Linked DNA regions of Rattus norvegicus. The protein of the gene in region 1 purifies or fractionates together with the protein of each later gene. This does not show direct contact. Links are inferred from orthologs where the notes say so. Each region holds a gene or a part of one and is shown on either strand. Other genes may lie near its edges. The genes, in order: Rab3gap2 and Vapb.

Evidence for each region.
Region 2: the proteins of Rab3gap2 (region 1) and Vapb purify together in Homo sapiens (affinity purification with mass spectrometry; 4 studies listed by BioGRID and IntAct, counting the BioPlex papers as one, with this or other methods). This does not show direct contact. The link is inferred for Rattus norvegicus from reciprocal best matches to the Homo sapiens genes RAB3GAP2 and VAPB.

What each region holds. Positions count from the first base shown.
Region 1 is NC_086031.1:99,344,456-99,348,266, forward strand, and holds part of Rab3gap2 (rab3 GTPase-activating protein non-catalytic subunit), read left to right. Parts: intron 1-2,415; coding exon 2,416-2,589; intron 2,590-2,678; coding exon 2,679-2,785; intron 2,786-3,811. UniProt on the Homo sapiens protein: Regulatory subunit of the Rab3 GTPase-activating (Rab3GAP) complex composed of RAB3GAP1 and RAB3GAP2, which has GTPase-activating protein (GAP) activity towards various Rab3 subfamily members (RAB3A, RAB3B, RAB3C and RAB3D), RAB5A and RAB43, and guanine nucleotide exchange factor (GEF) activity towards RAB18.
Region 2 is NC_086021.1:182,952,875-182,957,223, reverse strand, and holds the start of Vapb (vesicle-associated membrane protein-associated protein B), read right to left. Parts: upstream 2,978-4,349; 5' UTR 2,862-2,977; coding exon 2,804-2,861; intron 2,341-2,803; exon of another isoform or gene 2,258-2,340; coding exon of another isoform or gene 2,200-2,257; intron 1-2,199. UniProt on the Homo sapiens protein: Endoplasmic reticulum (ER)-anchored protein that mediates the formation of contact sites between the ER and endosomes via interaction with FFAT motif-containing proteins such as STARD3 or WDR44.

The DNA.
Region 1 (3,811 bases):
AGTCTCCCATCCCTGGACCTGAGTCTGTCCTTCTCCCATCTCACCCACTCCTGGACACTTGAGCGCTGCTCATGTTTCAAAGTCTGAGTCTCCCTCCAAGAAACCGTTCCTGACTAGTGTTTTCTTTCCCCTCCTGATCTCCAGAGAGCTAATAACTTCATCCCTTCTTCCTCATTCTGTGTTTTTAAATGTTCCTGAAGTATGTTTTATGTTTCATTGCCTCATAGTTGCCATACACTTGAGACTTAGAGTGGCATTTTAATTTGTACATCATTAGCTCAGATCTGTTACAAGGCGCTTGTTCTGTGTCAGGGGCACCAAGAGTCCTCTGCGCTGTCTTTTTTGAATGTACAGTTAGTTGTGTAGATTCTCTTCTGTGCAGTAGACCAGATGCACCCTGGTGCCTATACTCTTCCCAGCCTCTGTTCATGGCTCTCCCACAGCTACCCCTGTGAGAGCAGCTGTGTACTTCTCACAGTTTCCTTCCCTGGTACGTGGCTTTCTGTGGGCGCGGCGTTCTGGTTCGAGGGGTTAGCGCCTTTGTTTTCAGCTTCCCTGCGCGTCCCTAGGAGGCACTGGGTACCAGAATATTTATACAAGTGCTTACAGCTTTTTAAGAGGGGTGTGTGTGTGTGTGTGTGTGTGTGTGTGTGTGTGTGTGTGTGTGTTCGTACAGGTACACTGATTTTGTACACATACATGAAGTGGGTGTCACGTGTCCTTAGTCAATCTCCTTCTGTTCCTTTGAGGCAGAGTCTCTTTCCAAGCCTAGGATTCAAACTTTCTAGGCTAGGTTGGAAGACAGCAAGACCAAGGGATCCTTCTGTCTCTGTCGTCTCAGAAATGGGCTTACAAGGGTGTCTAGCACGCCTAGCTTGTTACAAGGGAAACGAGCTTTGTATCCCAGGCCTCATGGTTGGGTAGTACCAACTCTCAGACACTGAGCATTTGTCCAGCCTTGTGTTTATAGATTTTTACTTAACTTGTTTTCTCATTATTTATAAGTTTGTAACAATTTTTTTCAATTGTAAGTTTACTGTAACCCTGTTGTTTGTCCCCTAAAGAAGGTTGGGGTACACTTTTTTACTATTAACCCAAAAAGTATAGTCAGGGGCATAGTTATAGAGGAACAGGTACAAAGTCATTTAGAAGCCAGACGTGAAATCTGACTTCCCAGCACCCTGCTGGGGTCGTTTTTCACAGACGAGGGTGTTTACCATGAGGCATCCCTTTTCTGGGAAACTCCATTTGAACGGAAGTAAGAGATAAGCCAGGCATGGTGGCACACATTAGTCTCAACTGTTCTAGAAGCAGATGGGGGGTGAACGTTTGAGTTCAAGTGAGTCGTAGTGGGTAGCATAGCAATGCTAAATTCCTGCCTCTACCTCCACCCCAAAAGATAAGAGCGAGGGTTGGGGTGGGGGCTAGTGTCTGTTATTTTTAAGTATATAGTTTTGTTCAGTAATGAACAGAATTTTTCAGATGTCTTGAATATTTTCAGCTCATATAAATGTTTGTATCCTCTTGATGAGTAAAACATAAATTATGACTAAATTTTACTCATATTTTATAACAGGGGAAGTTAGTTGTATATTAGATGTAATATGGGCTGGGTAAGTGTGCTTGCTGCCAAGCATGAGGTCCTGAGTTGAGATCTTTGAACCACAGAAAAGCTAAGTGTGGCTGTGCACTCTACCCACAGCTGTGGGAGATATGGCGGCCTGGAGCGCTGCCATCTGCACTCCAGGTGCAGGGAGACCCTGTCAGTGAGTCAGGCAGGGCTACAAAGCAGGACACCCGGCATCCTCCTCTGACGCATGCATTGTTTTAAATGAAAATAAACTAACATGAGGTGGGCATTAGTTCCAGGGGCAGAGCGATTGTCTGCTTGCACAGTCGTAGGCTGCATTGCCAGCACCTCGAGCTGCGTGTGGCAGCTCACACTTCCTCCCTCACTCCAGAGGTGGAAGCAGCAGCAACAGCACAGATTCAAGGTCACTCACCCTCAGTTTGGTGATTTGTTTGAGGCCAGCCTGACGCCAGACCCCTTTTCAAACAAACCACGAGAGGAACCTTTAAACAGTCGTGTTTCCTCCATCTGTGTCTGTAAAGGGTATTTTGAATTTATGGACCTGGCAAGTGTGTAGCATATAGGATTGATACACGTCCGTGTATGTTACATTGAGATTGTCTCCATGAGGAAGTGCGCCCCAGATTCCAGCCTCTTGCTTGCCCTCCAAGTTAGATGATAGGTATTAATGTGCTTTAAACCTCATGGCTTTGGCATCACCAGATTCAGGTTCAGAAGTGAATGTGCTGTGTATCTGCGTCCCCCACTCTGTGTTTGTCTCCATTTAGCACATTGCTGCTCAGATTTTACCAGGTTTCCTTTTCTTTCTTGTCTCGAACCTGTAGGTGGTATTGCAGACAGCGTGGCCAAGTGGATATTTAAACAGGACCTCAGCCCTGAATTGTTGAAATGTGCCAACAGAGAAAAAGACGTAGAGAATCCAGACGAGCCCAGAGAAGGTATTGCCCGAAGTCCCCCTGAGGTGTCAGAGGTGGAGACAGACCTAGGAGCCGTACCAGGTGACACCCGAATGATGAGCACTGTGGCATCCAGGGTGGAGTGACATTCTTGTGACCAAAAGGATGCTGTTCCCTCTTGTGTCTTCCAGACTTGCTCCGCCTAGCCTACGAGCAGTTCCCTTGTAGCCTTGAGCTTGACGTGCTGCATGCGCACTGCTGCTGGGAATATGTGGTTCAGTGGAACAAAGACCCAGAGGTAAAAGTCTGCATCTGCTGACTATGTCTGCACATGTGTGCACAGGGCAGGCTTGTCCTGGAGCCCACTGCTGTGTGTGTGTGTGTGGGGGGCGTGCGTGCATGTGTGTGTGCGTGCGTGTGTGTGTGTGTGTGCGTGTGTGTGCGTCTACTCAGTTTTGAACCTATTGATGGCTTCATGTTTGCTAGGCAAGGACTCCCAACACTGAACAACATGTTCCCCAGCCCTTTCACATTTACTTCCTGGAGACAGGACCTAGTTAAGTTGCCCTTGCTGGCCTTCCTGAGCCTTAAGCAGTGTGAAGCCAGTGTAATTAGTACAGTGGCCAGCTGTGTCATTAAGTGTTGCTTTCTTACACCCAGGTTGATAATTTATTCAGATTTCAGGAGTTATATTCTCATCCCAGCTCTGTGATTCCTTTCGCCCTTGAGACTGACTGTGATTAGCACTCTGCATGTGGGACTCAGAATGATAGGGGACAAGGACAGAATTCTCATTCTGGTATCATTTTCTTGTTAAGGTTTAACAAAGGCAAGTCTATTGTTCAGACCCCTCTGCTAGTCTATTCTAATATACAGTTGTTATAGTAAAGAGCCTTTATGAAGAGGGAGGAAGGATAGATTTTATACGAGGAGGCAGCCTGAGATAAGAACCTCAAAGAAAGAATTTGGATTCAAGGGGAGCCATTTCCAAGATCACTTACAAAGGAGCTTTAAGAAGGAGGTGGCCAGGGAATTGTCTACAGGATGTTCATTGTCTTGTCTCATCTTGGAGTCGAGCCTGAAGGATTGATGCCTTCCTTAAGTGAAGAAGGGGCAGGATAATAGGTTTTGTGACCAGTGGTAAGTCAGCCATTCAACGGGGGTCCAAAGCCCTAGGGTACTTCAGACCAGGGTGCCACAGGAAGATCATGATCCTAAGAGTGTGGGAAGTGAGACCTTCACCGACAGTCGAGACTCCAGCGAGATTAACCTTGGACATGAGTTAGCTATGTACATAGTAGGGCTGTTTCTGGGTTATTGTTCT
Region 2 (4,349 bases), on another chromosome or scaffold:
TCTCTGGGTGACAAGTACTTTGATTAGCTTGTAAATGTCATTCATTTAGACGAACCTCAGAAATCAGAGTCATCATTCTGGATAACATGAAGGAGCCCAGTTAAATCTGAAGGTTCTCACCCTCAAATGAATTCCCTTAACACAAAGAGCCAATTTACTGGGCCTCTCATTTTACCACCTCAGCACTCAGCTTAAAGCAAACAAACCAAGAAACTGAACACCCCAGTTGGGATTGGTGGTGCCACATACAATCCCAGCACCAGGGAGTTATGGCAGGAAAACCACTCGCTCCATACTGGCCTGAAAGCTTAGTGAGACTTCATCTGCAAGGCAAAGGCTCCACACTAATACATGGCTGGCACTCACAAGAAACACCCCCCAACCCCCATCAAGTTTCCACACATCCCTGGACGACTCTTCCAGAGTGAAGACATTCGGACACTAAACCCCTGGACTATCTCCTTGGCAACCAGTGATGTTGGCTGGAGAAGTGTCACCTTCTTAGCACCACCACCGACCCAAAGGTAAGAGGGCAAATGGCACCCTAGGTCACACACACTGAATTGGAAGAGCTGGAACACTCTCCTCCTTCAGAGGCAGTAGTGTATGGGGGCTTGGGGTATCAAGATCAGTCAAGTCATTACACCCAGTGGGTGTGTAGACCTGACACTGTGTACTAGCCAGTCTGGCCCTCTACTCTGACCCGCAACTCCTAACCACAGCATCTCCAAGAAGCAAGTACTCCGGCTTATAGACCTCCATGCACAGTACTGGCCAGGCCCGGACACTCCCACCCACTTCCCCCTTTCTGCCACTGGACCTTTGTAACCAGATTCAATGATACTCTGTCACCTCCCATTCCCTGGGAAGTTGTTTCCCCACACTCTCTAGTCTGGGTCACCTCATCTGCCCCCTTTTTCCCTGGATGCAAAGGAAAGGTGGGTGTCGGAGAACAGCAGCCGAGAAAACCAACTGACATGACAGCCCCTCCCTAAATTGAAAATATGTCTACGTAAAAGTGGATTCAACCTACTTGACTTTTCTGAACATCACCACTGATCTCAACATGCTCCAGACTTACATCAGCCTACAGGCCCACAGAACCCTATAGCACAAAGTCCATCTGATCCCAACAGGCTATCCAAAGATGTGTTAAACCAGCAATACCAGCAACGGGGAAGCAGAGACAGAAGGATCATGTCAGCCTGAGTGGACCTCAGACGGTGAGAACTACAGATCTCAAAGAGAAGGCCAGTGCGACAGTCGGCAGACAAAAGCACTGCTATGCCAGACGCCTGCGAATTGTCTTCTGACCTCCACACACTCACTGTGACACACATACCCCTCACACACACGATACATAAACACACAATAAATAAAAACACACGCCGAAGAGCTTCCGTGCATGTGCACCCCCCACCACAGAGATGGACACTCTGTAGACATGAGGGGATGCAAACACAAAACAATTATGCAGAGGTACAGTGATAACCAGATGGCGGCGGTTCACGGCTGTGCGGTCATGCACAGGTCCATAACCTGGAAAAGGATCAGAATTCAAATTCCCAAACAGTTGCTACCAAAGGCACACCACTTTCCTGTCACTACCAAGTGGGATTCCTGGTAAGTGGGGGAGGGGGGGACCTCTGGTGCGGAGGATCCACATTTAAACGGATGCTTTTATTTAAAATCTGTTGTGTACGTGTCTGTGTGTTTGTTCACAAGCCTGCTAGGCTGCACCTGCTGGGGGTAAGAGGACAACATGCAGAAGTCAGTTCTCTCTTTTGACCATGTGAGTCTCAGGGATTGAACTAAAGTCCTCAGCCTGGGCAGCAGGAGCTTTTAAATGGTGAACCATCTCTACAGCCCAGGGTCAGGCGGCCTGAGGTTTGTGTTTCTAGGTTAACCGGAGGGCCTTTGCTTCCTTGTAAGTGTCTTTGCACACTCTGAACCTGGAAGGCAAGGTGGACATTCACAGCTATGAAGCATTTCCCAAGAGTTTGTGGGTACGATGGCTAAAAGTGTTTGAAAGTCCGAAATCAGGACTCAAAGGCGACGACTAGGTAAGAGCTGTGATCCTACGCTACTTCCCAACGGCAGAGAAACGGGTGACTCTCAGCCACCCAAAACCGTGAGCACCAGCTGTGGCCTACATGTAGGCAATACACAGAGGATCACATTGGCCAACCTGAAGCACACCTCCATTGAGTCCAACTTCATCCTTCCCTTCCCAGTACTTCCAGCCGCCTGCCGCCATCTTGCTTAGGTTGTTGAGCTTTATAGGCCTCCAGTGCCCAGTCTCATGACTCAAAATATGCAACGAAGCAAGGAACAGGCTGGGCACGGACCCTGTTGCTTTCTGGACCTTAAAATTAGTGAATAGAAATATGAATACACACATACACACACACTTCTGTGTGTATATACACATATATAGTACATGTATGTATACACACTATCTATAACATGCATATGCCATGCATACACATCTGTATAAATGCACTTTTTTAGTCACCTGTGCACGCCTGCGTGTATAAAGTTCACCTTTACACACAAATGTATACAAAAAGTGTACTACATAGAAAGTATGCACAGACTTCGTGGGCTGTAGACCCCCGACAGCTCGCTGCCCCGGGGGAGCTGAGGAGAAGAGTACTCAGGCCGATTCCATGCACTGACTCCACATGCATGCATTAGGCGCCTGGTGCATGCCGGCCTCAGGCGGACAGTGTCCTGCCCTCAGGGCGCGTCCCTTCCGGAGCCGGCCGCTGAGTGACAGCTCCCGGGTCGGCCGCCCGCTTACCTCGGAACTTGAGCTCGTGCTGTGGCTCGAGACTCAGGACCTGCTCCACCTTCGCCATGGTCCTCCCCGTCGGGGGCGGCGGCGCGGGCGGGGGGCGGCGGCCTGGGTGGCGGGGCACAGGGGCGGAGGGCGAGGCCGCGGTGCCGGGCGAGCTCACGGCACGCACGCACGTATGTACGCACGCCCCGACGCACGCACGTACGCACGCACGTAGCAGCTGCCGGGCTCCGGCAGTGGCCAGAGGCTACAGCGGCAAAATGAAGACTGCGCATGCGCACGGTTTTCTGGGCCACTGCGCAGGCGCAGCCGGGAGGTTGAGGGCGGAGCCTCCGTGGCAGTGGGCGTGGTCTCTCGAGGCTTGGGAGGAGGGGGCGGTCTCCAGCTAGACTGTTCAGTAAGCGCCTGTGGGGAAAACTGTTGTTAAGTGCTTTACTTAATAATAATAATTAACAAGAATAAACTTCCACTTTCTTCACGCACGTGTGGTGCCAGGCTCTACTGAGCCTGAATATAATAAAGTACTTATTATTCTTACAAACACAATGTTTACTTACGGGTTAGTGATATGTGCCAGGCCTTGTGACAGTTCATAAATAACAATTATAAAATATAATAAACTGGCAATTACTGTTTGCTTATTTCGTGCCACTCTGCTGAATGCTTTCAGTAACTGTCATAAATAAAAGCTACTCTGCATTCAGTGTTTACCAAACCACAGAGCACTACACCGAACCGTTTGCTGATAGCATTATTTGTTTATGCAAGAAATATTCAGAAATACAATAACCAGAAAACGACCCGCTTCAGACCTTGCTAGGACCTCACTGAGAGAATAAATTAGTTACACACATAAATCTCATTAAAAGTGTCTGGGAGCCTAGCTCAGTCTAATGCCCAAAATAAGCCCTGTATGCTCTTATTAGCGTGTGACTAGTATTTCATTGTGTAAACATATACTATGTAAAACAGACCCTAATAGCATCCTCATCAGACATTCGTATATGGGGTAAATATGGCTCTATATGGCAGGAATATCCATGTTGTTCATGAATTTCCCATGTTCTATATACCTGAGCTCGTTTTCCCAGTAAAAGTTTTCAAGGGGTAGTCTCTGTCTTTTAGCTTGTGCATCTAGTCCATTTATACTTATTATATTTGCTGTTGTACCCAGATTTATTTCTGCCACCTTATGTTGTTTCTCCCATTGGATGTACTGTTTCTTTGCCTCTCATTTCTTGCTCTTCAAGATTGGTTTTTCCTCTCAATCTGTTCTCTCCGTGTGTGTTCTGTTACTGCTGCTTCAGTGCTTTAACTTTTTAATGCGTGTAATGCTTTATGAAAGCCTAGCTTTTATGACATTTGTGTTCTGCTGTCTTGAAGTTGAAGGGCTGCAGTTCATCATCGTCACCCACTCCTCAATTATATGCCTTGTGCTTTTGAATGAAACACATTTCCCTCGGTCTCCGTTCTGTGTTTTGCCACACTGTCTGGTTTGTCATACTGTGAAATCTTGTGACTGGGCTTTCTGAATTTGGTGACTGAGTAT